2 linked regions of the Canis lupus familiaris genome follow. The protein of the gene in region 2 interacts with the protein of the main gene of each other region in a biochemical or structural test. Links are inferred from orthologs where the notes say so. Each region holds a gene or a part of one and is shown on either strand. Other genes may lie near its edges. The genes, in order: CSK and PTPRC.

Evidence for each region.
Region 1: of the proteins of PTPRC (region 2) and CSK, one has a biochemical effect on the other in vitro, tested with the Homo sapiens proteins (2 studies listed by IntAct). The link is inferred for Canis lupus familiaris from reciprocal best matches to the Homo sapiens genes PTPRC and CSK.

The regions. Positions count from the first base shown.
Region 1 is NC_049251.1:38,297,571-38,313,957, forward strand, and holds the end of CSK (tyrosine-protein kinase CSK), read left to right. Parts: intron 1-6,310; exon of another isoform or gene 6,311-6,945; intron 6,946-7,044; 5' UTR 7,045-7,109; coding exon 7,110-7,124; intron 7,125-7,472; coding exon 7,473-7,586; intron 7,587-7,712; coding exon 7,713-7,825; intron 7,826-8,125; coding exon 8,126-8,345; intron 8,346-9,103; coding exon 9,104-9,197; intron 9,198-9,354; coding exon 9,355-9,420; intron 9,421-9,512; coding exon 9,513-9,612; intron 9,613-9,703; coding exon 9,704-9,794; intron 9,795-10,201; coding exon 10,202-10,275; intron 10,276-10,360; coding exon 10,361-10,556; intron 10,557-10,678; coding exon 10,679-10,765; intron 10,766-10,980; coding exon 10,981-11,163; 3' UTR 11,164-11,859; downstream 11,860-16,387. UniProt on the Homo sapiens protein: Non-receptor tyrosine-protein kinase that plays an important role in the regulation of cell growth, differentiation, migration and immune response.
Region 2 is NC_049228.1:3,916,746-3,932,030, forward strand, and holds the end of PTPRC (receptor-type tyrosine-protein phosphatase C), read right to left. Parts: intron 13,922-15,285; coding exon 13,831-13,921; intron 12,571-13,830; coding exon 12,437-12,570; intron 11,272-12,436; coding exon 11,137-11,271; intron 9,331-11,136; coding exon 9,208-9,330; intron 8,986-9,207; coding exon 8,810-8,985; intron 7,298-8,809; coding exon 7,162-7,297; intron 5,667-7,161; coding exon 5,388-5,666; 3' UTR 4,577-5,387; downstream 1-4,576. UniProt on the Homo sapiens protein: Protein tyrosine-protein phosphatase required for T-cell activation through the antigen receptor. Acts as a positive regulator of T-cell coactivation upon binding to DPP4.

The sequences.
Region 1 (16,387 bases), on a different chromosome or scaffold from region 2:
GTCCCACGAGCCATTGGGGGCAGGGAAGAGGCCATGAGTTGCTGTAATTTAGTTTTAAACATTTTTTAGCCATTGACTCACCCCTACCCTTAGGGCAGGGGTGCCGAAGACTGAGGAGACCCAGGGTGGGGGCTCTGCAGCCAAGGTGAGGCCATCCTCCCAGCCTTCCTCGACCCCCAGGGAGGCGTGGGCATCTCCAAGGGTCTCGGGCGCAGTTCCGCAGCCTGACCCTGAGATGTGTGTGCAGGGGCTGCTGAGGGTCCGGCCCTCCAGCCCCCTGCCTGCTGCGCGGCCGGGGCATCACCCTGTCCTCAGCCTGAGTGTCATCTCCAGAGCCGAGGTGGGGCTGATGGCCCGGCTGCCAAACCAGCCCAGCTGCTGGCGCGCCCCGCCCCCTCAGGTGCCCTGCCTCCAGGGGCGCGGGCCTCAATCAGCAGCTCAGTTTTGCCTGTTATCTCCCTGTGGCCTGTCGGAACTTCCGGGCCGGTTCAGAGCCGCTCTGGACCCCGGCCCGAGCCTTCTGCCCTCCGTGACTTCCATGCCACGGTCTTGGACACGAAATCCTGGCCCGGTCTGGCACAGCCCCCTCCCAGTTGCTTCCACTGAAATCCCCCGGGCTCCAGCTCCCCTCCCCTTGGAAGCTTTCCCGGTTGCCGTGTCTGTCCTGTCTGTCGGGGCACCGAGCACACCTGGCCACGACGCACTGGCAGCCAGGAGGACAGAGGCAGGGCTGCGTTTTGGTGGCGGCCTTAGGCTGGGCGCAGAGGGGAAGACGGACGGATGAGCGAGGTTCTTAGGCCCTCGGGGTCTCCTGGGCCCTTTTCTCCTGTCCGTCCTGGCCGGCCAGGCAGGGTGCTGGTGGCACAGGGAGGCTCCAGGAACACTGGCTCGAAGAGTGAGAAGGCGTGGAGAACCTGCCTGTCGCTCGGCAGCTGCCCCTGCCCCCAACACGCTCCAGCTGGGTCCTGTGGCAGAACCAAAGTCTCTGGGGGCCGTGGCCCCGAGTTCCCCCAGGTCTCTTGTGCACTTCCCTTTTCAGTGGGTATTTTTAGCTGGGTGTAAACAGTTATTGAAGGCTCCCACGCCCCAGTAAGCAGTGGAGTTTTGGTGAGGGGGGCAGGGCAGGAGCCTCTTGACCTGCCCTGGCCTTCAGCACGTGATAGCTGTGGGGGTCTGCTGCTGCCCCGTGGGCAGGGAGAGGGTGGCCTGGGAGTTTGGGGGCTCCCAGTTCTCCTTGCTTCCCCGACTCCCTGCCAGCCTGGGCTACCAAGAAAGGCCTGCCTGAGGCTGCAGCCACTGACCTCAGTGCTTGGGCACAATGCCCAGCCTGTTCCTGGGACCCCAGCACAAGGACTGCTGGGAGTCGGGTTTGGGGCAGGAAATCAGAGTGAAGCGCTGACTTCACAGAGTTCCAAAGCCCCCTGCCCCCTGGTCCTTGGCGGGTGTGCTGACAGCTGCTGTCCCTTTGGGGTTAAATATAGTCCTGTCAGTTAGGGGACCTTGGTGTGGCGCAGCCGGCCTGGCTTCCTCCTCTCCTTTGTTGGTTCATTCATTCATTCAGCACTCACTCACCGAGCAGCCACTCTGGGCTCAGCCCATGCTGGGCACATGAGTCAGCTCCCAGCCCCCCCCCCCCCCCCCCCCCCCCAGCTCCCAGGCCACGAGCAGGGAGCTTGTCTCTGGAGCCTGGGGATGTGTGAGAGGCTGGGGAGGCCTTGGAGCACGGCCGGGGAACCAAGGGAGGCTCCTGGCAGAGGCGGTTTTCAAAAGTGATTTATTTTCAACCTTATTTTTAGGGGGAAGTTAGTAATAGATACATGTGGTTTAAAAAAAAGAAGTCAGAAAGGACAAAATAGCAAACTCACAGTGGAAAGTAATCTTCCCTTAAACTTGACACCCCCCCCCCCAGTCCCAGAGACAACTCGTGTTGCCAGTTTCTTCTGTCTTTCAGGGATGATCTGCGTGGATTGGAGTTAGGGATGCCTTGTGTGTCACGTACCATGGATCAGGTCCCTCACCTTGTCTTTTCTCACGGCCTTTCACTTGGAGTATTTCAAACCTACTAAAAAGCTGAAATAGGGCACCTGGCCCACTCAGTGCATGGAATATGTGACTTTTTTTTTTTTTTTTAAAGATGTTATTTATTTATTCATGAGAGACACAGAGAGAGAGAGGCAGAGACACAGGCTCTAGAGAAGCAGGCTCCATGCAGGGAGCCCGACATGGGACTCGATCCCGGGACTCCAGGATCACGCCCTGGGCTGAAGGTAGGCGCTCAACTGCTGAGCCACCCAGGCGTCCCGCGTATGTGACTCTTGATCTCAGGATCATGAGTTTGAGCTCCACGCTTGATGTAGAGATTACTTTTAAAAAATAATAATAATGGGGTGCCTGAGTGACGCAGTTGGTCGAGCGTCTGACTCCTGATTTCCACTTAGGTTGTGGTCTTGGGGTTGTGAGATCAAGCCCGGCTTCTGGCCCTGCACTCTGTCCCTCCCCGTACCCCCACTGTACTCATGTGCATGCACGCTCTCTCTCTCTCTGAAATAAATAAAATCTTTAAAGGTAATAAAAATAATAAGAAACTGAAATAATAATGTAACAAATACCCAACCATCCCTTACCCAGATTCACCAGGTCTTAACATTTTGCCATATTTGGTTTCCCTCTTTCATATACCGAGATGCGTATTTGTGGAGTTTTTTGCTGGTGTGTTTGTTAGTTGCAGGCATCCTACATCTTCATTTCTAAGTACTTGAGCGTGCACCTCTTACGTAATCACAGCACCAGGATCGTCCTTAGGAAAATTGACATTAAAATTCCATAATATTACCTTACATTTCCATTTTTCCAACTGTCATCCAATGATTTTTATAGCTACTGTCTTTTTCCCTCTGAGCCAGAATCCAGTTCAGGATCTCTCACTGAATCTTGTTGTCCTGTTCCTTTCACCTTTTTTCCCCCAGCTTTATGGAGATGTAATTGCCATATAAGGTTGTGTAAGTTTAAGGTGTACAGCGTGGTGATTTGATGTACGTGTGTTGCTAAATAGTTACCACGGTAAGGTTAGTTGACACCTCCTTCACCTCACAGAAATACCATTTTGTTGTTGTGTCACATGCCTCTAGCGTCCTGTTTATTCGAGAACATTCCCCAGCCTCTGCATGTTCCTTGGTTTTGTCTCTTACGACATTAACTTCGAGAGTCCGGGCCAGTTGTCGAGGCTGTGCCTGATTGCATCTTCCTGATTTGAGTCAGGTTAACGGGCTCCGTGGGAATCCTACCCCCGGGATGCTGTGCCCTCCTCCGGGCGTCCCGGTGGGAGACGCTCTGTCGTTGCTCTCATCGTGGGTGATGCTTGATTCGGTCGCGTGGTTAACGAGATAGATCGATAGGTCTATCTGCCAGGTCCACCTGTTGTGTAGATGCTTTTCTGCTTTCTGATTCACCTGTGGGGTAGTCTTTGGAAGCCATGTCACTGTCTCGTTCCCCCCAGCAGCTTTTCCTTGAGCGACTTGAGCTGGCTTTTTGCCCTTCCGGCTTGCTGCATCATACGGGTGCTGTGTGTCAGCACCTGAAGGTCGGGGCCCCGTCACCGCAGGGACTGTTGTTCCCTCTTAGGGATACCCGGCTGTTTATTTGCCTGGTCCCTCACTGATGGACATAAAGATCGCTTCCCAGTCGCTTGCCACCATAGACAATACCACAGGGACTTTGTAGGCACACGTGAAACAGAAGCAATGCCTCAGTTGTGACCCGGAGGTTGAGAGGAAGTTCCTTGGGTAGAGAAGAGGGAGGGAGTGGAGAGGGAATGCCAGGCGAGGTGGGAACAGCAGGTGGGACACAGGTCCGTCTGAGGTGCCAGAGAGCCAGCAGGTCCCAGAAAAGTCAAATGACTTTCCCAAGGTCACACGCAGCAAGTTGGTGGCAGAGCCAGGAATAGGACTCAGAGCCCCTGACTCCCAGGACAGCGTCCCAGCAGCCTCCACAGAGTGGCCTAAAAGTAGGTTCATGTGACTCCAAAGGGACCCCTGTGTGCCAGGGGTCCAGACCAGAGCCCTAGGTTCACAGGGGCCCCTCCCAGCCATCCTGGCTCTTTGTGTCCAACCTGGAGGGAGCTGGCCCCTGGCCCCTCAGGACCCTCGGGAGGGAGACCTCTGAGCCCGCCTGGGCTTGACGCCAGCAGGGAGGAGCTGTGCAAGAGCCCACGGCCTGCCCTGCAGCATTCCTGGGCAGGGGCGGGTCGAGGCGCCTGGCAGCTGCGTGCAGAGCAGCCCTGGCTGCTGTGGAGGTACCGCCAACCCATTGTACAGGTGGAGAAACCAGGTCCTGAAGTTTTAGGCAATAGACCAAGGGAGGGCTCAGCTCCTTCCCCTGCCTTCCAGATGTCTGGTTGTCGGAGCCTGGCCCCTTGAGCTAGCCCACCCTGGCCTCTCCAGTGGCGCTTGCCCGTCCTCTGGGCGCCCCATGGTGCCGGGGCTGGGCAGTCGAGGCCCGAGCGTGGCAGGGTGCTCCCGGGAGGTGTAAGCCCCCTTGCCTCTTGGCAAGACCACTTTGCCTCTTGACCTCGCTCAGGGTCCTCGTCTACAATATGGGGGGAGTAACAGGCTCAGTTGTTAGAGGATGAGATGAGCCATTACGTGCCAAGGACGGGGCCTGGCACAGAACAAGTGCTCAGAAAACGGCCTATTATTATTTTTATTATTATTGTCATGTCAGTGGGGAGGCGGCGGCAGCAGCTGCAGGCCAGGAAGGGAGTGTTTGGGGAGGGTGACTAACGGGGCCACAGCCACCATGCCCTCTGTGGTGGCCCAGTGGTGGCAAGCTGGGGAGGGAGGGGAGGCCGGCCGAGGGTGTGGAAAGCTGGCAGGGCCTCTGTTCAGAAGGGCCTGAGGGTCAGGGCCCCCGCCAGCCCCAGTGGAACCCTCATTTGGGTTCTGGGCCGTCACCCCTAACGAGCTGTGTGACTTCACACAAGTTGTTCGGCCTCGTGAGCCTCAGTTTCCGCTCCTGTGGAACGGGGGCAAGAGCAGCTCGCGGCTCACCACGGTTTGTGGGCCACGAGAGCCCGGCGGGCGGTTCCTGTCCCCGGCTCAGCAGCTCAGCCGTGCGACCGTGTGTTCGGTGGGGGCGATGTCTCTGCTCGGCCTCGTGGGCCCCGGGCTCCTGTGCCGACAGCAGACGGCGGCAGGTTGGCCTCGGGACGCGAAGCCCCGCGTGCCGGAGGAGGGAGGCCTTTCTGTCCGGAGGAAGGGGGCGGCTATGCCCAGCCCCGCGCCAGACCTTCTCAGGCCCGAGGTCTCCTACTCCCTCGCAGCCTGCATGCAGGGCACGCCTGTCCCCGCCTGGCAGGGTGAGGAGCCGAGGCTCAGAACGGTTGAGTCATTCTTCCGAGTTGCACACTCGACGGAGCCAGGTCCGCCTGACTGGAAGCCGGAGTGAGGCCGGGAGTGGTGGTTGTCCCGGCCGTTGCTGCCCTCAGCCGCGCACTTCACTGCTGAGGCCCCGGTTCCTTGTCTGAAGCCCCCGCTGAGCTGCAGGGTTGGTGCTGGGCGGGCACCTCCGGACTGTCCCGACAGCAGCCGGGTAGGGTGCTCAGATGGCCGGGCTGTGTCCCACCGCCCTCCCGGGGCTCGCGGCCGGGCCCCTTCCTCTCGGCTGTCCCTGTCGACCTGCCCTTCTGGCTCGGCCTGCACCCCACCCGGTGGAACCTTTTCCAGCTTGCCTTCTGTCCCCAAGCTCTCTGTTCTTCAGAGTGTGGCCCTGGGGCTCCCCGCTCCGAGAAACGGGCCTCGGCCCTGCGGTCCTTGTTCAGCTCACAGGCCAGGCACATGCACTCAAGCGTCTCCTCCCACTGCCCAGCCTGGCCCTAGACCTTGTCCTTCCTGTCAAATGCATCTGGGAACAGGACTCCTGGGGTTTCTCTCCTAACACGCAGGGACGAGTCACTGGCCTGTCTGAGCCTCTATCCCCTGGAAACAGAGAACAGTGGCTCCAGCCCCACTGCTTCCTGAGATGGGGGCTCGGGGGGCTCTGGGCTTCAGGAAGGCAGCGGCGGTCAAGGGGGTGCCAGGCTGGGGCCACAGAGTCTGTGTGGCTTGCCGCCCTTGGAGCGTGGGTCAGCTGGAGGTTTTCTGGAGGGGTCACCTGCACCGAAGGAAACCACAGAGTGCCCCAGGCGTAAGGGTACAGCTCCGTGAGGTGCGGCCAGGAGAACTCCGCTCTTCCAGTGGCTCTACCCCTCCGAGGGCAGCTGCCGTCCCGCACCGTGGGCTCAGCCAGATTTTGAATTTTATACGGTCTACGTGGGATTACCCAGCCTGTGCTCTCTGTCGGGCTTTCGGGTTGATACTGTTTCAGAAATTCATCATCGTGGTTTCATTATTCGGTCTACTCGTGTTTGCTGCTGCGCAGCATGTACCGCTCTGGAAGACACCACAGCTTAGCCATCTTACCCTTGATGGGTATCGGGGCGGCTCCCAGCGTGAGGTACAGATCCTGCCGCACCGTTGCTCTTGTGCACATCTGGGCTGACACCTGCCCTGTGTTCTCTTGGGTGTGTACCTAGAAGTGGGGCGACCGGGCCACGAGGTTGGTGTACCTTTGTCTTTAGACATGTTGCCTGGGCACCTTTTTATAGGCTGTGGGACTAGGAGGCCCACGGAGGAACAGGTGACTTTCCCAAGTTACGTTGCACCTTTCCTAGGCTCACAGAGCCGCCCTGGGCTCCCTTCCTCCACAGACCACGTGACTGACCTCTGGGCCTGGGGCTTCTCACCCCCAGAGCTTCTTTTGCCTCTGTTGGCCATTTGGTGGGGCTGTGAGGCCCCCATGGGCTTAGGATTGGTGACCCCTCCGTCCCTGGGGGCCCTCAGCCTTCATGCCCCTGCCTCCCCCTATCCGGCGCTCTCAGGCTGCCAAGAGTCCCAGCTCTAGGGGCCTTCGGTACGTGTTCACATTGCTGTGGGGAAGGAATGGGGGGCTCAGTGACTGGGAGGAGCCAGCTTCTCACACCCCTCCTCGGTCTTCCCTTTCTCCCTGCAGCTCTCATGGTACCAAGTGACGGGGTGGCCTTCCTGTGACAGGAGGACGCCAGATCTTCTGAGAAGATGTCAGCAATCCAGGTACCGTGGGGGCGGGGGTTGGGGCAGTTGAGTACTCCCCCCACCCCTGGAAGGGTGCTCAGTGGAGGAGAGAGAACGAGGCCTCACGTCAGTCTGCTCCCCTTGGCCCCACCCTGGCCTTCGACAAAGGAAAATTCTAGGGTGTTGTACTGTTGGACCCAGGGCCCTCAAGGTGGGCGTACGGACCTGGGGGCAGTGGGGGGGATCTCAGCTGGAAGGCACCCAGAGTTCTCGGGGCAGGAGGTTTACAAAGAGCAACGAGAGTCTGTGTCCTGAAGGGCGGATGGGCAGTGGGTGGAGATGGGCCCCGGGCTCCCTCCACCTGCCCACCTGTCGCCTGCCCTACAGGCCGCCTGGCCATCCGGTACAGAATGTATTGCCAAGTACAATTTCCATGGCACTGCCGAGCAGGACCTTCCCTTCTGCAAAGGAGACGTGCTCACCATTGTGGCGGTCACCAAGGTAATCGGGGACCTCACAAGGCCACACCTATGCCCTCCCGCCTCTGGGCATTCTAGCTGGGTGGGGGCTCCCCTGCAGGGGGGCCAAAGGAGGGCTGAGCGTGTGTCTGGGCTGCCCTCTCCCCAGGACCCAAACTGGTACAAAGCCAAGAACAAGGTGGGCCGTGAGGGCATCATCCCAGCCAACTACGTCCAGAAACGGGAGGGCGTGAAGGCCGGCACCAAGCTCAGCCTCATGCCGTGAGTACTGCTAAGGAGCGCTCGGGGTCTGCAGCGTGGGGAGGAGGGAGGACAAGAAGCCCTGGTTCCCTAGAGGAGTCAGGAAAGCAGCGAGCGGGCGTAGGGGTTGCAGCGCGTGAAGGCTTCTCAGGCGGAGGGCGAGGCGCGGGTGCTAGGTCCCGGGGCCTGGGAGGCCCGAAGCAGGAGGAGCGTGTGGGGGCCATGGGGAGGTGGCGCAGAGGGAGGGCCTCAGACAGCGGGCCCGGGTGGCCGGGGTCCGTGCCTGGAGCCGCCACGAGCCCTGGCCCGGCCTCCCCGCAGCTGGTTCCATGGCAAGATCACGCGGGAGCAGGCCGAGCGGCTGCTGTGCCCGCCCGAGACCGGCCTGTTCCTGGTGCGGGAGAGCACCAACTACCCGGGGGACTACACGCTGTGCGTGAGCTGTGACGGCAAGGTGGAGCACTACCGCATCATGTACCACGCCAGCAAGCTCAGCATCGACGAGGAGGTGTACTTCGAGAACCTCATGCAGCTGGTGGAGGTGAGCGGGCCCGGCTTCCGGCCCAGTGTCCCCCCACTGCTGGCTGGCCTTGGCACGTGCCGCCTCCGGAGCCTGCGTTTCCTCACGCCCCTCGCCTTGGCGAAGCACCTGCTGCGTGCCAGGGTTGACTTCTGGCCCCACGCACCCACCACAGGTGGGGGACAGAGAGGCTCAGAGCGGTTTCGGGACCTGCCTCAGGTCACACAGCTGTCAGTTAGAGACGCCAGGGCCAGAGTCGGAGTCTCGCCCCAGAACTAGGCCTCCCTCCAGGCCTCAGAGCCACATGTCAAGCCGCGCACATAAGCCTGCCCTCATGAGCTGCACCTTGGTGGTCAGGTCACAACCCTGCGTGGCTGTGGCCACATGTCCCTGCAACTCCCAAGGCCAGTTCTGCTGGTCCTGTTGAGGCCACACCTGGCTTCCCGGAGCCCCAGCGGCCTCCCAGACGCCTCCTGCGCTCGTTCTCAGCTCCTTGCCCCTGCTAGCCCCTGGCTGGGGGGAGGCCTCCTCGCGTCTGGCCAGAGGCCAGGGCTCGCCTTCCGCCTCGGGATGCTGGTGAGGCCCGTGGCCCCAGTGGAAGTGAGGGTCACAGATCTGAGTCGGGACCTCCCTAATCCTTCCCTGGGGGGACCCGGGGAGCTCCGGCCGGTGGGCTCGCCTCGGCCGCCCTCTGGTGGTTGGAGCCGGGCAGTGCGCGTAGGCGGCGGGCGCGGCGCTGGCCCTGAGCCCCCGCCCTGCCCCCGCCCTGCCCCCCGCAGCACTACACCTCGGACGCGGACGGACTCTGTACTCGCCTCATCAAGCCAAAGGTCATGGAGGGCACGGTGGCCGCCCAGGATGAGTTCTTCCGCAGTGAGTGCCATCCCCGCCCCCGTGCTCACCTGCTTCCCCGCCTCCTCCCTCGGGCTCCGGGCACCGCCCCCAGCCCTGGAGGAGCCCTCCCCGGGTCGCCACACACTGTGACGCCTGCTCTGGCTCCACCCCTCACTGACACCCCCTCCCCCGCCAGGCGGCTGGGCACTGAACATGAAGGACCTGAAGCTGCTGCAGACCATTGGGAAGGGGGAGTTTGGAGGTGAGCGGGAGCGGGTGGCGGCCGCGGGAGGGCCGGGAGGGCCGAGGGCTGGTGGAGGGTCCAGGGAACAACCTCCAGCCCTCGCCCCGCAGACGTGATGCTAGGCGATTACCGAGGGAACAAGGTTGCTGTCAAGTGCATTAAAAATGACGCCACTGCCCAGGCCTTTCTGGCTGAAGCCTCTGTGATGACGTGAGTCGGGCTGCGAGTGGGTGTGGAGGTGTCCCCGGGCGGGGAAGGATGGGGGGGCCTGGCAGCGCTGACCACCCCCATCCTGCCCCAGGCAACTTCGGCATAGCAACCTGGTACAGCTTCTGGGTGTGATCGTGGAAGAGAAGGGCGGGCTGTACATTGTCACGGAGTACATGGCCAAGGTGCGCCCCTGCCCGGAGAGCCGCCCCCGCCCTGGGCTGAACACTCCAGCCTTCCCCGCCGGGCCCCTCACCGCGCCCCTCTCCCCGCTGAGCTTTGTAGTCACCAGGCAGGGCTCAGCTTTTGTCCTGACTCCTCCTTCATTCCCTGTGACCTCACCAGGCCTCAGTTTCCTCCCCTGTGGGATGGAGGTAGTGCCAGGGTTTGCCTTAGAGATTTGTGAGCTCCGAGCTCAGGGAACTGCCGGGGCGCGGGGGCCAGCTTGCAGCACCTACTGCTCGTTCCACGGTGATGCCCCGAGCCCTCCCCTGCGGGTTCCCCTCAAGTATTTACCCAGCCCATGGTTCGAGAGGATGGGGGGGGGCAAGTCTGACCCGTGGGGCCAGTCGGTCTGTCTGTCCTGCTTTAGGGAAGCCTGGTGGACTATCTGCGGTCGAGGGGTCGATCGGTGCTGGGCGGAGACTGTCTCCTCAAGTTCTCACTGTGAGTGAAGCAGCACCCATTCGGGGGGGCCCTGCCGTGCCGTGGGTGCCCTGTCTGAGGGGCTGTGTGGCTGGCTCTCTCCCAGAGATGTCTGTGAGGCCATGGAATACCTGGAGGGCAACAACTTCGTGCACCGGGATCTGGCTGCCCGCAACGTGCTGGTGTCTGAAGACAACGTGGCCAAGGTCAGCGACTTTGGCCTCACCAAGGAGGCCTCCAGCACCCAGGACACGGGCAAGCTGCCAGTCAAGTGGACGGCCCCGGAGGCCCTGAGAGAGAAGGTGGAGGGGGCCTAACCCTGAGCCCGGGGGCTGCTGGGTGGGGGGCCTGGGCTCCCCTCCCCCGCCTCCGCCAAATCCCGAATCCCCAGGGTCTGACCCTGCTTCTCCCATCCACGTGGCAGAAATTCTCCACCAAGTCTGACGTGTGGAGTTTCGGAATCCTTCTCTGGGAAATCTACTCCTTTGGGCGAGTGCCTTACCCAAGAATTGTAAGTTGGGCGCCGGGCCTGGGCAGGGCTGGGCGGGGCGGGGAGGGGGCTAGGGAGCCTCCTGGGCCCTGCTCGGTGTTCTGAGCTGCAGGCCTGCCCTCGGGACCTTCGGGGCCTGCTGGCTCTGAGGCCCAGGTCTGAGGGGGATCCCCGGAGCTGAGTCGGGGTCCCCCGGGGGGTCGGCCCTGCACACTCACACCACCCGCCTGCCACAGCCCCTGAAGGACGTCGTCCCTCGGGTGGAGAAGGGCTACAAGATGGACGCCCCCGACGGCTGCCCACCTGCGGTCTACGAGGTCATGAAGAACTGCTGGCACCTGGATGCTGCCACAAGGCCCTCCTTCCTGCAGCTCCGGGAGCAGCTCGAGCACATCAAAACCCACGAGTTGCACCTGTGACCGCTGCCTCCTACCCCAGGTCGTGGGGCTGCGGGACTGAACCTGGAGCGATTGTGGGCCTGGTGCCCCCACTGGCTGGGCCCCAGCCTGAACTGAGCCCAGCGGGCCAGTGGGCCTCCTTCCTCTGCCCCAGCCTGCGCCCCCTCTGGCCCCGCAGAGACCCCGCCTAGGCCTGGCACCTCTTCTCATGGACCCACCCGCGGGGTGTCGGGAGCCCCACCGAAGGGCCAAGGAGGGAGGAGGCTGAGGAGCGTGAGGCAGATGCCCCCCGCCGCAGTCAGGCTTCTCCTGGCCTCCCATCTCTCGCCTTCTTAGAGTTTTATTCCTTTCCTTTTTTTGAGATTTTTTTCCCGTGTGTTTATTTTTTATTATTTTTCAAGATAAGGAGAAAGAAAGTACCCAGCAAATGGGCATTTTACAAGAAGTACGAATCTTATTTTTCCTGTCCTGCCCGTAAGGGTTGGGGAGAGCAGGCCCCTCTCTAGGGACCCGTCAGCCCAGCCTCGTTCCCCGTTCCGTGTTCCGTGTCCCGTGTCGCCTCGGTCGCCCGTGTTTGCGCTTGCCCATGTTGCACTGTTTGCATGCGCCCGAGGCAGACGTCTGTCAGGGGCTTGGAGTTCATTCATGTGCCGCTGCCGCCCACCCACCTGCCTTGTGAGATGGAACCGTAATAAACCACTCCATGAGGACACCGCTGCCGGCCTCGGCGCTTCCTCCGCCGAGCCTGCCTGGCCCCCCGGCCCCCTGTCCCTGTGCCATCTTGTCCATCCCCCTGTCTCTGTGAGTGGGGCTGTGCTTGCCCTGGGAGTGGAGTCGGGCGGGGAGCACGGCCGGGAGATGTAGCCGCGCTTTGTGTCAGCTGCACGAGCGAGTGTCCTGTGTCTGCCGTGGGGGGAGCCCTCACCCCCCGCCCTCCCCCACCATCCTGCTGTGGCGGGGGCTTGGCCCTGGGGCCGTCCCGAGCTCGGGACCCTGTGCACAGGGTAACGTCTGGGGGTCCCAGCTGCCTCCCCCGCCGTGTGGTTCAAGGCGACAGCACGAGGATGCCTGGCACCAAGGATGGGGGAGGCGCCCAGGCCTGACCAGGTGGAAGCGGGGTCCCCCTGGTTGGAGGCAAGATAAATGTCACCTGCCTCAGAGAAAGTGCTGACCCCAGAGGGTGAGGGAGGGGGAGCCTCTGAGCCACTGGTGGTTCTCACTGTTGACCCAAGATGACACGGCGCTGGCCTGTCCCACGTGTGCCCAGCCGCGTGCCTGAGGATGAAGGTGGGGGGCCTTCCCCACTCTGCCTCGGGGGCCCCAGATAGAGGATGAGGACCCACCAGGGCATGGTCCCCCCTCCCTCAGGTTGCCTGGGTGTGGTGGTCAGTGCAGAAGCTGTAAAGATTGGGGGAGGCTCCTTTCATCATTGAGATGGGCACCTCGCTGGGTGGGGGGTGGTTTCCCTTGTCCGGGGGCGACGCTGACCCCGGCCCAGCTAGCAGGACCTGAAATCCAGGGGGTTCGGACTTGGCCGTGTGTCTCGTGCCTGTGTCTCAGCCCCCGGCAGCCCGGCCGCCAGCGTCTGCCTTCCAGCCCGGAGCAGCAGCTTCCTCACCTCCCCTGCCAATGACAGGCTCATTTCTCCAAGGCCAGACCCTTGGTTCATTCAACGACAGACATGTGAAAACCTGCTTTGTGCTAGGACTGGGGCTCGGCAACGAGCAAGACAGAGCCGTGGAGTTAGGGAGGCCATCACACCGACGACTACAAGCTGCTAAGTGCTACGGCAAAAACCATGTGTAACGGGATCGGATCTTGTCTGTGGGTCAGGGAGGACTTCCCGTAAGAGGCAGCACGGCAAGCTAGATGAGGATGACCAGGAGGTGTGAGGAGTGGGCCGCAGCATTCCAGGAAGAGAAGCCTGGACTGGAGAGAGGGCAGGCGAGCCTTGAGGCAGAGGGGGGAGGCCAGAGCAAAGGTTGGCCTTTGTCACACTGAAAGCCACGGGGAGCCAGTGACAGGCTCTGAACAGGAAGGTGTTGATACAAACACTGTGGCTGCTGGTGGAGGAGTCCCCCCAGGCAGCAGAGGGGGGCTGATGAGTGTAAGAGAAGGGGCCGGGAGGGGACGACCTCCAGAGGGATGTGAGATGAAGCCCAGGGGACTTGCCAGCGGAGTCCTCCTGCAGGTGCAGGGCGGGCAGAGTGGCCGGGGTAAGGGGGCGGCCACCAGGAGGCTCCTGTCCAGGAGAAGGCACCCGGAGTTCTAGTAAGGGCATGGTGAGTTTTAGGTGTGCCTTTGACTGCCAAGAGGCCTTGAGCAAGTTGTTGGAGCCCAGAGGCTGGAGCAGGGAATCGGAGAGGTCAGAGTGCGGCTTGGATCTGAAGCCACGTCCAGGGAGGAGGTCACTTTGGGAGGACGTGCAGAAGGAGCCCGGGACCATGCCTGGGGGAGTTCTTGACATTCAAAGGTCAAGGAGAGGAGGCTGGCCAGGCAGGGTATGGAGAGGGAGGTAGCAGACCGCCCTGTGGCAGAGGCAGGGGACAAGCCGGCAGGTCCCTTCTTCCCAGAAGAGCAGAGCCTGCCACTGGCGTCAGCTAGGAGGCCGCTGGGCCTCTAGCGAAACCGGAGTTCGTGGGGGTGCAGATTCTAGGCCTGGCTGGGGGGAGGGGGGTGAGCCCTGCGGGAAGGTCCCCGGCTTGGGAGATTCAGCTGTAAGAAGAGGAGAGGGTGACGGGATTTGAAGGCAGCAGAGGGGGAGCAAATCTGATGCCAAAGGGAGGGACGTTTGCCTTCAGGCTGCATCCACGCGCTGAGGGGGCGGAAAAGGTAGAGGCGGGAATGGTAGTGACCCAAGGGGGAGGCTTCCTTAGAGCAGGAGGGGTGGCTGGACACCCGCCAAGCGCGAGGTGTGCCGCGATGGAGCCCGCACTCGGAGGGAACCGCGGGCCGCGCCGTCGCTGGGAACAGACCCCGAGGCGTGGAGGGGGCTCAGATCTGGAGCTTGTGGCGTCCACGGTGTACGCGCCATGGCCAGTGTCAAGCCACCAACCTGACTTCGCTGAAGGCACAGGTGGCCGGGGAGTTTTGAGAACTGGCTCGGGTTCAGACACCTGCACTGGTGCGTGGCCACGGGATCCGGAGAGAAGGGCTGGGGCCAGGGCATGCAGGCCCAGAGAGCTGGATGCTCCCAGTCCTTCCACCTGCTGACATGTGAGTCCGCCCTGTTCTTCCTTCCAGTCTCTCACTTGACTTATGGCTGTTTTGTTCCTGTGCTGGCCGCTGGCCTAGCGGAGACGAGCATGTCACCCTCATAGAGAGCCCACTCAATCTCAACTTGGTGCCCAGAAATCTGGTGAAGTGGAGGGGGCAGGAGACGCTAGGTGGCCTCTCAGACACCTGGAGTTCGGACAGGGACAGAGAATGAGGCGTTTCTGGCAAAGGAAGGGCACTGCCTGGGCAAAGTGCTGAGATGCCACAGCCTGATGAGGTCCTGAAGTGTGGCTGGGCCCCAGGTGCCAGTGGGGGTCTTTTGGGAGCAAGCAAGGCTGGAGAGGAAGCAGGGCCCAGACCCCACCTGGCTCTGCAGATCCCACGGGTTTAACTTGCTACAAATGACCAGGAGCAATTGAAGGGTTTAGGACCAAGGAGCCATGTGGTCAGATCTGCATTTGAGAATAATTCTGGTTACAATCTGGCCCTGGGGGTGGGAGTGTCCAGAGTGGAGACAGAGAGACAGTGGGGAGGCTGCAGGCGGCCAGCCAGGAGGTGACTGCCGGTGGCCTGGGCTGCGGAGGCCATCGGAGGTGCAGAGGAAGGTGAGCACAGCTGACACTTTACTGAGCTGAGTGCTCACTACGTGCCACGCCCTATTGTCAACACACGAGATGTGTCATCTCACGTACCCCCCAGTCAGCTCTTGAAGATACGTGCTGTGAGTACCTCATCCTACAGATAAACAGGCTTGGAGGTTAGAGGATCAGGTAAGGTGGCCTATGAGTAGCGAGAGCAAATTGAAGAGCTTGCTCCGGTTTGACAGGGCAGGGGTGGGGGTTGCCATTCACGAGCCCCTAGCCTTGACAAGGGCAGGCCAGACGTTGGACAACAGCAGTTTGAGGTGGACGTGTTCTCTGGGGACCTCCAAGTAGAGATGTCACCACAGAGTTAGACATTCAGGCCCATAGCCCATTAACAGTAGAGTTTTGGGGATCATGAGCACCGCAATGGTGCTGGAAGCCGTGGGCTTGGGTGAACTTGGCCAGGGAACTCAGGGAAAGCGAGGACAGGCCCCAGCACAAGGAACCCCAGAGGTGCCGGGAGGGAGGGCAGTGGGTGGCAAAGGCGCACAGAGGAGGCCGGCAGGGGCGGGGATGAGGGGGGCCCTGCAGGGGAGCCAGAAGGCTTCTCAGAGTGTAGGGGAGGGGGCGAGGAAGTGGATGCTCATGGCAGTCCACCCTGCAGAGACCGGTTGACAAGTGTCCCCTGGAAGCAAAGGACAGGGGTCATTGTCAGGCCCTCCCAGAGTGGTTTCCTTTCCTTTTTTTTTTTTTTTTAAGATTTTATTTATTTATTTGAGAGAGAAAGCATGAGTGGGGGGAGGGGCAGAGGGAGAGGGAGAAGCAGACTCCCCGCAGAGCAGGGAGCCCCATCTGGGGTTGGATCCCAGGATTCTGGGATCGTGACCTGAGCCGAAGGCAGACGCTTAACCAACTGAGCCACCCAGGCGCCCCTGGAGCGGTTGTGATGGGGCAGTAGGGGCAGGAGTGAGAACTGAGTGGCAGGTGAGGGAGCAGGGCCACACTGGGGCCTGCTGTTGCACAGCGTGGCCGTGGAGGTGGGGACAGCGGGGTGCAGGTGGCTGAGCACTTACTGTTGAGAAATGAAGGTTTCCTTTTAGCGTGTCCTAAGCTTTTCCATTTACAGCCTTGATTTTAATTAATTTGTAGGGTTTCGGTAACTTAATCCCATTGGGAACTTAGAAAGTACAGTAAAACTTCAGCTAGCCAGATTCTTGGCAAGTGAGCCACTCTGGAAAATGAGCATTTGAGTGAAAATATTTGAAATATAGGATTTCTTTTTTTAAAACGTTTGTAGAATGGAAATAATCCTATAACCATATGCAGGAGAGAGAAGTCACAAACACCCACATCCTCACCATCCAGCGTGAACAGCAGTTCCAGACTAATCCTGTGCCCAGCACCCCCACCTCTGAGCTCTGAGCTCCCGGACACTTGGAAGCAGA
Region 2 (15,285 bases):
TCTTACAAATATAATAATTCCTTTCTCCCCTTTCTGTTTTATGACTTATAACACATAACAAAAGCCATGAAGTATAATTCATGAAGGATAATATAGTCTGAATTAATGAAAAATCTGAATTATTGATTACCAGTAAAAATTCTCAGTACACAGTTACCTAAGTATACTGCCAGGAACCCTCTGCTTTGAGTCTGTGTCAACCAGTGGGGTTGGGGGGGACAGGTTCTGTGGGTGTCCTGATACTATCCCACCCTCCATCCCATGTAATTATAATGGGCAGATTATTTCCCTTCCTAGTGCCCCATCTTGCCCCCACTTCTTAGAGTGTACCTGAAAAAAGATTGCACAATTGCATGAAAACTCAAGACAATACTTTTATTCTTTGACAGTTCATCAGCCTCTGCAGATCTGGTTTGCCTACTATGTAGGAGAGATAGTAATGAACCCAGGAAGTTCTTCTTTCCAGGAGAATTAAATATGTGGACAGAGGTCCCACGTTAACTGTGATACAAAGGTGCCTATGAATCAAGGAGGTCCTGGTTTTTCTAAAGGGCAATGCATGTGTGATTTTACATAGAAAGTCCATTGCCAGTTACCTGGCGTCCTAAGTTTGGGGACAGCGATAGGTCAAAAGAACCAAGCTCCCTTGGACTCGCTTACCAGAGAGACTGGATGAGTCATTCTCTCCATAAATGTGGTTTGCATTTTATGGTGCCCTGTTAACTTGTTTCAAGCACTGATTGATGGGTTCTCTGACAAACACACTGAAATGTGATCCAAACAGTAAGAACTTGTTCTGATTACCAAATTGAGAGACAATGGAACAGTGACATTTGTGATTTATTGTTGCATTTTATTTCCTGGCACTCACTTTAGCGATGAGGTGATCTTTGTTTATATGCATTATGAGAACGATCCTTTCCCATGGATGTTTAAGAGTGTGTTTATTTTGTGTAATAACTTCAGTGCTGTGAGTTCAACCAAGCTGACTACCTTGTGCAATGCTGTTGAGAGCGCATGTTACACGTGGCTTTGTTTTGTTTTTGTTTTAATCATGAATAAAGAAAAGACGTAAAATAAATTCAGATTATCTTCTCCACTAATTTTTCAAAAACGCATGAACATAGTTGATACTCAGAGCCAGAAGAGCCAAAGGTTATGAACACAGCCTGTGGTGCCAGTAAGAGCTGGTTCACATCTTGGCTCTGTCACCTGCTACATGTGTCAACACACGCTGGCTACCAAGCTCTTCTAAGCCTCAGTTCCTTGTCTATAAAATGGAGATACTAAGAGTCGGTGCTGCACAGAATTTGTCCTGATAAACAAATGCAGGCAAAACAATTAACAAAATACCAGGCGTGCATAATGCCTGGATAAACATTAGTTATAACGATGATTATTACTTTTTTATTTAAAAATAATGACACAGCATGCACACCCTTTCATTTGGGTTAGTAGTGAACAAAAAAAAAAAAGTGTTTGCTGAGAAAATGTAAAGAGAAATGTAAAGCAGTTCACAAAGGAATGGTTACAGAAAATAGACCCTTTAGCAATGTAAATCTTTTCACCTGTAATAGGAAATGAAAAAGCTCAATTCTGAAATGTGTCTCTTTGAAGACCCTTCAGATAGTTCCAGTTGTAAAATTTGTATAAGAGAATGAAAGCATAGCCTATTCTACTCATTTTAACAAATGCTCTTTTCCTTTGAAGTTGTACATTTGAAAGTCTTCATACCAAGAAACATGTTATGATTAAGCAGGAGCAATTACCACCTATTTAATTTGACCTATTATAGTGCAATGAGAACATTTTATAACAAATCTCTGGTGTCAATTAAAAATTAAGATCAATCTTAGTTAGTTAAAAGAAATAATAAACTTTGTATCCAGTGTTTTTAGGGGGAAAAGAGAAAAAAATAGATGTGAAAATTTCACTGCACATGTATTAGAGTTTTGACTAGAAGCTTATACTTCTAAATCATTGCAAAGACATTCAGGTAATCGCTACACAAAGTTTTATAATTGCAAGGGACTATTAAAATGTATAAATCTTTTCTGCAAATATTTACTTGTAACTGTAAAAAATTAATGGCTTGGGAGCTGAATTTGAAGAATAGTAAATGTATCTCCAATTAATCTTGGTACCAGAAATAAAGTAAACTCCGAAAGAAACATAGCATAGTCTCTTTTTGCCCAATAAGTACACAAGGGGACCCGCAGCTTTAACCCTAAAATGGACCAAGCTTTATTAAACTGGAGCTTTTTGCTTAATTTTTCTAACGAGGTCTTGGAATTCCTAATGGCAGTGCCAAACTTCAGAAAAAGAATCTTCTACATCTCATGATAGGTTCTCTAGGAATGCAACTGATAGTCCTAGACATAAGTCTATAACTCAGGTGTTATCTTCTTTTTAAAAATAAAAATCATAGACATATAATTCCATGTTCTAACACAAAGGGCCCCGTCTTCTGATAGTCTCACAGAGTAATAGGCCTTCTGACCCCTTCCTCTAGCTCTTCCTTTACCACAACTTCTCATTGAAAAAAGAAAAAAAATGAAGTTTCCAACTTGCTTCTTAAACTAACAGAAACTACCAGGGCTCTATTTTTCTAAGTATTTACTCTGTATCTCAAAGGAATAGACTCAAGTAAAAAATACACATGGAAAACACACAACATCCACATTTGGAAGATGCCACTTGCAGCTGGGATCTCAGAGGAAAACTTTACTTGTACACTATTTAAAATTCAGAACTTTTGCTGGTTGTATTTTGAAGCAGCTCGCAGATAAAATAGACACTAGTCTGCCACATATAAAACTGTATTTTTTAACATTATCTAGTAAATGGCAACTGATCTTGTTTCAGTTGGAGAAACCAAGGCATAAAAGTTTGAGTGACTAACGAGAGAAGTGAAAGCAAGCTTTATTTCTTCGTGGTCCCCTTAATGGGTGACTCTAGGCTCCCCTTTCACATTAATAAGTAAGGCAATAGTAAGTCAACCCAATATAAATTAAAAATTACCCTTTCGTTCTAAAATTCACTTCTTTTCTTATGTGAACAGGGTACTGTCCAATAATGTAAGAATTAATTGCTAACTTCCCATGTCTAATAAAAGAATTAGAAAGATGAATAAGATAAATTGAGTTGAATGGAAAGTAATTGATGATGTATAGTTAAGACATTTAAAATCACTCAGGAGTGTGAAGATATAGAAAACCAACCTAACCTAAATGTAGCGTGTGACTAATGTCATAAGCTGATGCAGAATTCACCAGAAACAGCGTTGTTCATTACTTTTTTGAAAAAAAAAATGACATTTTTCTTAAATTTTGTATGATCCTAAACAATTAATTAGATTATGGATCTTTTAAAATGAAAATTGAGACTTGTGACAGGGGCACCTGGGTGGCTCGGTCCTCTTGATTTCGGCTCATGGTCATGATCTCAATCGTGGGGATCCAGCCGCCTGTCAGCCTTGACACTCAGTGGGGGGTCTGCTTGAGATTCTCTCTCTCCCTGCCTCTGCCCCACCCGTCCCCCATGCATGGGGTGCACTCTCTCTCAAAAATTTTTTTTAAATGGAGATCTGTGAAATGTCCCACAAATGTTCATTGCATTATGCCTACAACTTAATATGCACTTATATAATTCATATAGGAACATGTAACACAATACATGATGTATAAGAAAAGATAATGATTCAATTTCATTATGATTATTGGTGTCAATTTCTGGTAAAAGCAGTCTAAGAATATTTTTTAAGATTTAATTTAAATTCTAGTTAATTAACATACAGTATTTATTTGTTTCAGGTGTAACAATACAGTGATTCACTTCCATACGTCACCTAGTGCTCATCGCAACAAGTGCCCTCCTTAACCCCCATCCCTTATTTCACCCATCCCCCACCCACCTCCCTACTGGTAACCAGCAGTGTGTTCTCTATAGTTGAGTCTGTTTCTTGGTTGGCCTGTCTTTCACTCTCTTTTTTTTCCCTTTGCTTGTTTGTTTTATTTCTAAAATTCCACATGTGGTATCTGTCTTTCTCTGACTGATTTCCCTTAGCATAATATTCTCTAGCTCTATGCATGTTGTTGCAAATAGCAAGATTTCAGTCTTTTTTTTTTTTTTTTTTTTGGCTGAGTAGTATTCCATTGTGTATATATACCACATCTTCTTTATCCGTTCACCAAGCTACGGCCCTTGGGCTTTTTCCAGAATTCAGCTATTGCAGTTTAAACATTTGAGAAATTCAATGCCAATGCATTTCTGTTGTGATGAGCACTGGATGATGTATGGAATTGTTGAATCACTACATTGTACACCTGAAACTGATATAACACTGTATATCAACTATCCTGGAATTAAAATCAAATGGATAAAAAACAAAGTAAAGGCACTTGAGTGAAAGTTAAGGATGGATTTTAACATGAAAAGTATGCATGTGCAATATTGCATTTCTCATATCAGTGTTGTATTCCATAAAAATAGCTAGATCATGTTTCAAATGTAAATATTTCACACAAGTATGTTGACATAATTCTATTTTCGCCTATGAATATTAATATATATGGTATTTGTTTAAAGATGTTTATTTAAATTCAGCTGCAACAAACATAATTCTTGGTCAAAAGTATCAAGCAATGAATTTCACATATTATACAGAAGATAACCCAGGCTGCAAAATTATAAACACCGTGTGAATCTAACAAGATAAGCTTGCTTGAAAATTTTAAATTAGATTAAATGAGCTTGAAAGATACGGACTAAACGTTAACATATGGAATATAAGATTTCCAAATGTTAATTTTGTTAACTTTCTTGTAGTAACCACACACACACATACTACATTTATGTCTATTTCTAGAAGTAAACTAGTAAACTATAAGATATATATGAGTAGAACAAGGAGGACATCTTGAGGTCATTCTAGAAATGTACATTTTATCCTTAGAGGCCACACACAATTTATGATTTAAAAAGTAGGTCCTGTAAACTAACTTAATATGTTCTGTATAAAATGTATTTTTTCTTCAAAAAAAAGGGCAAGGTTTCTCAAAAGCATTTAAATTCACTTAAAAGCAACCCCTTTCTCTCTTTCTGTTGCTGTCTCTGTCTCTCACACACACACAGACACACACACCCAAAGACTACAAAGAAGTTATTTTTTTGCTAAGTGATAGGTAAAATTTTAAAATATGCATAAAACTGTACAAAGTTTTTAGCAAAATTGTCTTAAATATGTTTCTACAGTAGTAAAATAGAAGCTTCTCACATATTGGTCCAATGTACTGCATTAATCCACTGTATATCTATTTTGTCCTCCTACTCCTAAAAAAACAGAAATAACACCTAATACAATGCTTGAGTCCTGTATATGTCTTTTCCTATGCATTTTGAGTTAAACCTGGACTCGCAGGACCATTGGCAGAATGTTCTGGCTCCTCAGGGCTACTTGTGACTTTAGTACCTTCATCTTCTTTGTTTCCTTCATTGGTCTTATCAGGAGCACCAGGAGAACTAACACAATTAGCATCCTGCTTTGCTTTGTCCACCAATTCGTTAGCAAATTCAACTTTATCATCTTGATTGTTGCTTTTCTTTATTTGTCCATTCTGGGCAGGATAGGTGTTAGCAATGACATCATAGAGGAATTGGTATTGCTCCTGGTAAAAAGAAAGAAGCAAGAAAGCGTATGTAATTATGATAAAGAAAGTGTATGTGATGATTTTTTATGTCAAGTGAAAAGCAGCAAGAACTAGTCGTTGACTTGAAAGTCTTGGATAACAGGAACTACTCTATGTTGTTATCAAAAGAGCATTTTAAATGGCTTAGTCCCCTTACAGTTCTAAAGGTCCTACTGCGGGGTAGTCCTCAAAGTTTGCTGTGGAGCAACATCAAGCATGTTCATACCCCTCACGCACCACCACGTGGTGTCTCCTTTCCATGGCCCACGAGGCCACTTTTTGTGCTTATCTTCTTGGTTAAGGCCAATGCATCCTTCATCTAAGTATCGTAGCAGAAGTCACTTGCTTCTGGAAGCCAATCTGGGTAGCCACAGATTAAATTTGGTGCTGTCATTCAGGCTCCTCGCATAATCTCTCTGTCATTTCGATTACTACATTGTTTAGTAAATCTTTGCCTTTTCCTCACACTAAACAGTGAGTCTCTTAATGGCAAATGCACATAACAGGCACTCAGTGCACTTTTAAAATCAATTATATGCCAGCTCAAGGTCCTGCCCGATTACATGCTGCAGAGATCTGAGTGACTGGTTAGGTTGATATGGTGACTAGTTATGCCTTTCCAGACTACCCTCTACAGATGATCCATGTTAGCTTGACTACAAAAATGCCACGCTCATTATCCTCTGTATCCACACCTGTTTGCAGTGTGGCTTTGCAGACCCTTTCAAGGAGAGGTGGAGCCAACTTTCCCATTCCTTGAATCTGAGCTGGCCTTGTGACTTGTTTAGATAAGGAAAATGCAGAGGAAGGCAGGTTGGGCCAGTTCCAAGCCTGTACCTCAAGAATTCTCACACACCGCTGCCTACTTCTTGGAACTCGGTTGCCTTTATATGAATATACCTAGGCCAGTCTTCTGGAGAAGGAAAGACCTGGTGTCTACCCACCTCCGTTGCCGGAGCTAAAAGCTAGCAGCCACCATCTGTTGGTAGTAGGGATCATTTTGGACAAGCCAAACCCTAGCAGACACATCAGCCGCCGCAAAACTATGAGCAAGCCTGGTCCAAACTGGCTGAAGTTGATATTGGCAGAATTATTCAGTTGCTCCAATAGACTATTGAACTATAATAATTTATTTTCTGTCCCTAATTCTGGGGTGGTTTGTTACATAGCAATACACATTAATACAGGAGTGAAGATGGAGGAAATTAGGGAATTCATGGACGTTTGAAGAAACGTTCTCCGTGGATTGCCACAACAAGTTGCTGGCAGGCTCTAATTAGTTCTTTTATTTATATTAATAATGACTTCATGTGACTTATGTAGAAAAGGAAGATAGAAAAGAAGACTAGAAAGGTGGATGGAAGGGAAGAAAAAGAAGTAGAGGACTGGAGAAGAGGAAGAGGAAGGAAAGAGAGAAGAAGCCATCAAAATAAGAATGCAAAACACTTCAAAAGCAACTGTGAGGTCTACTTACAAACGTGGGAACCATTCCTGGTCTAGCTCTGCGGAGAGATTTTACTACTTGAAAAACATCTATTACTTCTTCTGTTTCTGCGCTTTCCAAGAGATTTAACAAAGCACAAAATAGTCCTGTTTGCTGAGATCCATCTCTATAAAAGGAAGAAAAGTTTTAAAAGGAAAAAAATCCTACATTTTATGGAGAAAGTCATATGAGAATAAAAACTGAAAGAGATGGAATGCATTCTTCACTTCGTGTTCTCTTAAGAGCAACACATTTCTGCTAAAAGCATTATTTGGACAAACCTTTTCAGTTTGAGACTATAATAATCCTATAGTTTTTAAAAAAATACTTGTCTCAGGCTTTAAAAATATTTTGTTTTCTTCTGTTTAGTACCTTATGGGTTATAATGCATTTTAATTTACATCTGGAGTTGTAAGGAAGTTGCTAGGACAAGTGCCAGAATGCCAATTTGACAGATGAGGACGTCAAGATTTAGGGAAGATAAAGACATGCCTAGAAATCAATAAAACCAGAAATACTAGACCCAATATTTTGTATATTGCTAGATCGCCTGCTTTTTCTCCTTTCTTCTGCCTCTCTCATGTGTTTTCACAAATGTCCAGATTTCTGCGTCAATAGAAAAATGATACGTAGTAGAATTATTCATTAAAAAGAGGACAATTCAATGATTTACTTAACTGTAGGTAAGTACGTTATAATAAAGATTCAATGTAGAGAATATGTTATTAGCAGGATTTTATTTATGGCACGTAAATTTAGTTAAAGGACATAAAATAGGCTTTCAGCCATATCCTAGGAAACACATATAGTTTTAAAGCTTAACCTTGCCTTCTTTAGCTTTCTTTCTGCATAAATTTTCACCTTTGAAAATGCTGATAAAGGCTGAAAAATAGTGTATCTCTAAGGACTTGATAATAGTGTATGCAATTCTAATAATAGTAATAATAATAACAAAGCTTTCTCAAAAATTCTAAAAGCATCTTGCTAAATTTACATTTCTCATTTTACTTTATATTTTTCATTTTGCACTTACTTTAATATGTTTTATGTAAACATTTTATATTATGCATCCGTCTTTCAATATCTCTTATTTAAGGTAGATATGTAGGCATCTCTCACAGAGGAAAGTTAAGAGCCTACAGAGCAGAAACTAATAAGGTCAAAAATTATACGTATTATTAAAGTCTTTTGGGTGAATACATAACTTAAGAAATGTTTACCGAAGGAAAGCATTCATTCCTCTGGATTCTGTTAGTACCTAACAGAGTGGATCAATGCACATAAGCATAAATAAAATGTGGGATCCATCCATCTGTTCACGCATCCTACCATTCATTCATTAATTCACCCAGGACACATGACATTCCAGATTCAATGTTAGGCACTGGGAGTCAAACATGAGGTGACGCTGGCATTAAGAAACTTATAAACTAACACTAAAACTGTAGCATAATCACCGCTCTCATATTTCTATATAGTTAAGCTGTGGGAGTGAAACAGAGAGAGTGACGCCACAGGAGGCTTTCACTGTGGTCATGCATTTTATAGGTCAGGATAAAGAGAATTTAACAGGAAGTGTAAACCATGAAGTCAAGCATTGTGATGATTTTTAGAGAATATCTTATCAAATCCCACCCACCTGCAGTGAATGAGGAGAGGCACATTCTTGTGATGCTTATTCCCTTCAGTGGAATTCTTGGGAGATTTTTCTTTGAGAGCCTGAATCATAGAGATTAGTTCTTTGGGTTCTGCAGGAAGCTCATCCACATTCCAGTTATTATATTGGTACTGGTACACAGTCCGAGAATCTTTCCTCTAAAACCAGAAAAGAAGGGAATGTGAATTCAAGTCAGGTTCAGTCCATTTAATAATTTGATAGTCACACTTTGGCCACAATTACTTTCTTTTAACTCCTCTTAAAGTTTGATTCTGAAAACAGGTGGATTTTCCTTTGCTTTTAGAGAGTAATTTACATTTGTTTCTCTAGAAGATCAATTCCCAGATCAAAAATAGGTATTCCTGAAATGATTTACATACCTTGGAATGTCTCAGTTCAAATACACGGAGGGTATAAGCTGAAGATTTGTTGGTCTCTTTCATATCAACTTGTACATCTCCATATGTTTGCTTTCCTTCTCCCCAGTACTGAGCACAGGCTTCCTAAGAAAGAATAAGATTCAAGATTCAACAACTTCCACACAAGTGTTCTGTTTGCTTTTAAGGTATACAGTGCACCTCTTACTGTCTCTGTCTCTCTCCCCTCTCTCTTTCCCTCTATTTTATTAAGTGGAAATGACTAACTGTCTTCTAAAATGGAAAGCTGGCCATAAAACTCTAAATCTACCTTACGTATGTGGGGCGTCCACTCCACAGTACCTGGTGTTTCCTTGTGCAAATCAAGGGAACTGAGGAATAACCAAAGTGGCCAGGACACCACAGAGATGGCTCTGTCACCACTGGTGTAGGTCTTTGAGATTTGATTCTTCCTTCCATACCCTTATTTTCACCTCTTTGAGATTTATAGATTGAGCTGGTGTTGATCGTGACCACTGCAATCACAAGTGTCACTGCCCCTCCAGTGGTCCTTGAGAAAGCATCTTTGGGAGTTTTGTCTCTGTACCTTGAGGACCATCACCCTGAGCAGCTTTATATGAGTTGACTGTGTACCTAAGTAAAGGGTCAGACTGAAGAGCAAGTGAATTACAAAAATGTGTTCTCTCTCTGCAAATGGTCCTACACCAACTACAGTCTCACAACCGCTGACAGCAACAAGTGTTCCTGCCTAAACCAGCATTTGGTACCTGGCTTTCACAATTTAGATGAAAGAAAAGATCACTAGGATTCCATGCCGGAAATCTGAACATGTTATTTCTTTTTTAAAAAGGAAAAAGAGGGATCCCTGGGTGGCGCAGCGGTTTAGCGCCTGCCTTTGGCCCAGGGCGTGATCCTGGAGACCCGGGATCGAGTCACACGTCGGGCTCCCGGTGCATGGAGCCTGCTTCTCCCTCTGCCTATGTCTCTGCCTCTCTCTCTCTCTCTCTCTGTGACTATCATAAATAAAAAAATAAAATAAAATTTAAATAAAAAGGAAAAAGAAAAAAAAAAGAAAAGAAAAGAGAAAGAAAACCTAAAATAAAACAGGTCCTATGTTCAGGGGTAGGGAATTAAAGAAAAGAAAGAAGGTGAAGGCATGTTTATGAGAGTATTCATTAAATAGGATTTAACATATGCCACATAATGTGCCACAACTATGGAGCGTCTACTACCAATGAGATTTTGATAACTCAAGGTATTAAGGAAAAGATCAAATACACAGCTCAGACATTAAGCAGATCAAATGAGATCTTAGGTTCACCTCCAACTTCATAATTATAAATATTATATGAACATAAAGAAGGCATTTTGTAGATAAATTTTTCAGGAGTTCTATTTAGCTAGAAGAAAAGGATCAAAATGGGAATAGAGGACACATTTAGACATATGGAATGCCACTAAATTAAGTCTCAGTGATGAAAATGAAATGGTGTCAAGATTCAGTCAGGAAATCTGCTTCTCCAGAATAGAAATTATGGAAAACATTAAAAAAATGAAGAAAATGGAATGATATATGAGGGTCTGGTTATTGAAGATCTTAAATATCACACTGAGGAGTTTGGTTTTCATTTGAAGAAAATAGAAGGAAAATGTGTCTGTTGCTTGTTTGTAGCAAGCAGTGATGCTGGGCTTGCTGTGCACTAGACGATCCACAGACGGAGTGTAGGACCAGAGAAAGGAGGGCAGGAGAACCCAGACATGAGATGCCAACTGCCAACACTTGGATGGAAGATGGGAAGAATGAACAAAGGCAACTTTGTGACAGAAGGGTCAAAAATCCTAGGGTAGAGCAATCAAGCAAGTCATCCGAGAATAGAGAATGATATTTTATGACAGAAAGACAAAAAAAAAAATATTCTTAAAGACACAAACCTGGTCTCCATCCTTCAGCTGTGTCAGCATAACAATGACTTTGACTTTTCTTTGGAATATCATCTGCCAAAAGTCACCAATGGTCTCTTTTAGGGGTCCCTGAGCAGCAATCATCACTTCAGGTTTCCAGTAACTCTTTAAAAAGAGAGGGAGAAAAAGATTCTTTTACTCTCGCTCACTGATGAGAGAGCAATGGATTCTTAAAATAACCATTTGAAAATATCGTCACTTAATTTGATATCAATGTTGTTACATAAAAACCCTAAGATCCTTAGGCCCAAGAAACAGTATGATGTCTATATTTATTTAATTAATATCTTATTTCATTAATGATAATACTTAGCTAATAATATGAAGTCAAGTTTAGAACATCTTAACAAAACAAGTTTTTTTTTCCAAAAAGAACTAAAAAAAGTAAATGTGGTTGTAAAAAAAATACATAATTATTTGATCCTCATCATGTATCTAGTTGATGTCTACACAGTCTTATGATAACTTTATTTATTTATTTATTTATTTATTTATTTATTTATTTATTTATTTGTTTTGATAACTTAGATATAAACTAATATTCTATAAGTGTGTTTTAGAAAAATTTGGAAAATAAATCCAACTTGGTATATATGCAAAAAGTATTTTTCCTTGTTAGAATTCTATTTACTAAAAAAAGAAAAAAGGTTATGTGACACAGACTCATCTAATAATTTAGATAATCTGAATGAAATTTTTTAGCTATGCAAATATGCAAATTCTTACTTGCCTACAATTTGTGTATCTGAGTAAGTATAAACATTTTCAAATACTTGTATTTTCTCAAATTGTATTATTTTTCAAATTCGTATGAAGAGTCCTATTGGTCCATCAATTGTAACTAATAAGCATTGTCTTATTTCATATCAACACATTAAGTTTTAATATCTTTAAGTCTTTCAGTAAGTTAAAATATAGTATTAAAAATTGAGGGACACCTGAGTGGCTCAGTGGTTGAGTATCTACCTTCAGCTCAGGTCATGATCCCAGGTCCTGGGATTGAGTCCCACATCGGGCTCCCTGTGAGGAGCCTGCCTCTCCCTCTGCCTCTGTCTCTGCCTCTCTCTCTTTCTGTGTCTCTCATGAATAAATAAATTAAAATAAAATTGAAACTTTTGTATCAATCAATATATAGTTATGGCCAAGCTCATCATTCTTTTAGAAAATCACTTAATGAATGGCCATAAAAATATAGATTTTTTTTACAATGTATTTCAAAATACATTTTTTAAAGGGTTAGATCTTGGGCTTTGGAAATTTAAGTACCTACCATAACAAAAGACGCATTGATGTATCTACTTGTTTCCTCTGAGTCACTGTCATCATCAGAAGATTCATCTGAATCATGCTCACTCTCTTTGCTCATCTCCAGTTCATGTTTTAGTGGCACTCTGTTAAAGTCATCTATGTAAGATAAATTAGTAGTAAGTCTTTCTTTAAAAAAATTCAAATCTCTGCTTGATTGTCATGTGAAATTAAAGAAGTGACAGATTGCATTATGCAAATGTACTGATGTACATGAAATGAGACCCTACATAAAATTCAGTTCATATTGATAAACAAATTATAAAAAAGAAATCTAAGAAAAAGAAGCTTTCAAAAAAGTTCCTAGAAAAAAAATGGGATAAAACACCATGTTAAACAACAAATAGATATCATAATATTCCATATGATCACTCAATCTTTGACATACCTACTTTCATTTTCCATGAAATATCATCATTCTGCTAGATATGTTTAAAAATACATATATAAAATTTTAAAAATACATAGCTTAGGTAAAAAATCTAATTTCTCTATTATATCCCACTAACAGCAAATTAACAACCTTAGTTAAAACGGTATCTCAGTTGATTTATTATTTGATCAAAAAAATTATTTAGTCCATAATTTCTCACTGTTTTTCTATTTCTTTAGTCTATAATATCCTGATCAAGTGATCTGATTAGCTACATCACCATCAATTCCAGATTTTGAACGCATATTTATAAGGACTTCAGAAATTAACTAGGTCAACCAATCTTTAATATGATGTATTTGGTTGTCTAGTTGATTAGCTTGGGTTATATTTTCTCCATGCTAATTTTAGTTTATGCAAATGAATAAAATTAAAGTTGTACCAGATATAGTCCTGTAATATTCTTAGGTAACAGAATTCAAGTATTGAAATTGTACTTTTGTTGATCTACTAAACTTGATGATTAACAGTTTGCAGGGTACTTTTTATCTACGGTTAATCTCCCAGATAGGAGGAAGGGATAAAAAGAAAACAGAAAGGAAAAAAAGGAAGTAATGTTTGCTATTGGCAATTCCCCTGAAGCAAATACCTGAAATTAGCTAAAGATGAGAGAGAACTAGTAAAGAAGACTTGGCCTTTTCCCTCTCAGCTTCAGAGGTTATGTCTTTCTGACAGCCCATTTCTAAAATAACTGGTAGAAGGAAAATACTGGATTCAGTTTATCCTCCAAAGTCTATTGTAAAGGTTTGGGGTGCAAAGTGTTTGCTATAATTAAATTTAAATAGACAGTTATTTTTTACTGTCAACCCAATGTTGAAAACTTGCTTCAAAATCATTTGTGTGTGCACATCTTACATTAAACAAACCTGAAAAAGAGTTTAATTTTATCTGATACCAAAAAAAATAACATAAAATACTCTACATACATGGAATGATGTAAGAATTCCTGTTTTTGCTTTTATTTTGTTCTTGATTTCCAACATGCTGTGTCCTCCAGCTCCTATATGAAGGAAGTCTCTGAGAGTGAGAAAATAGAATGGAACACCATTGTTAAGATGTGAGTAGTGGTTTTGTTTATTACTATGGCCAAAGATGTTCCCTAAAGAAAAGTATGTCATTAAGGTTTGTGAAATTTGTATGCATTCCTTATAGTTCATAATTTTTAAGTTTGCCTCTGAATTTTTCCTTTTATTTTTTTTCAGGCATTTAATATTTTTGAATTGGCAAGTTTGGACTCAATGCATCCAATTTTATAACAAAATAGGTTTCCTACTTAAGAGCTGCTGGAGAACAAAACAGTATGGTTTGTTCTTGTACAAGTTGAAGCACTGTACAGATGGTGATGATTATCCATATTGCAGCGGTACATCATTGTAAATGATGAGTAATAAACTCTCCAGATACAGAAGGCTTGTCTCATGCTTCCAATAATTGATACTTCATTGGTTTATGCCTTCCCTACTGCTTTCCCTCCCATTTACAGTAGCTAATCAGTCAGCAAGACTTCTCATTTCTGCTGGTGAGGTTCTCAGATCCTCTGGCTTTTCCCTCTACTTGGTACGTCCCACGTTCATTTCTCACTTGACAACATCAACAGTTTCTTAACTGGCCTCTTGATCTTCAATCTCACCTGCTCTAATCCTAACTCTGGGAAACAAACTAAGGGTGGTGGAAGGGGAGGTGGGCGGGGGGTCGGGGTGACTGTACAGGCACTGAGGTGGACACTTGACGGGATGAGCCTTGGGTGTTATTCTATATGTTGGCAAATTGAACACAATAAAAAATAAATTTCTAAAAATAAAAAAAAAAAACAAAAACAAAAAACAAACAGAGTCCCACAGAGGCTCCTCAGCAGTCTTTACGGGTGCATTCTTGATGGTCAGGCCAGCCTCACCCTTTGATGGTCCCCTTCCACCTCAGCCACACGACCTCCTCAACTCTGGGAAGAGGCTGAGTTGTCCGTTCACTCCGTGTGTCCTGTGCCCACCCTTTTCCCTTATTGTCGCTCTGCTAACATCTACTTGCCTTTGAGCTATCAGCGTGAATGTCATTTCCTCTGGACGATCTCTCTGCCTACAGCCCTGTCTTCCCATTAGTCCTTAAATAAATATTTGTCATGCGGATGAATAATCTAAACCAAAAGACTGCATCATATATAGTTTAGTAGGATTTTATACACGCACAAACATACGTGCATATGGATGTATGTGTGGTCTATATATGTATCTTTTAACATGGTGCGCTCTTTCAAACTAATCATGGCATCCTGTTTCAAACCCCATGCATTGCTGTGTCACCGAGTGAATGAAGACCTCATCATGGAATACCAGGCCACTTGAACTCACCCCAATGAACTGCATGAAGGCTGACTGCCTTGGAAG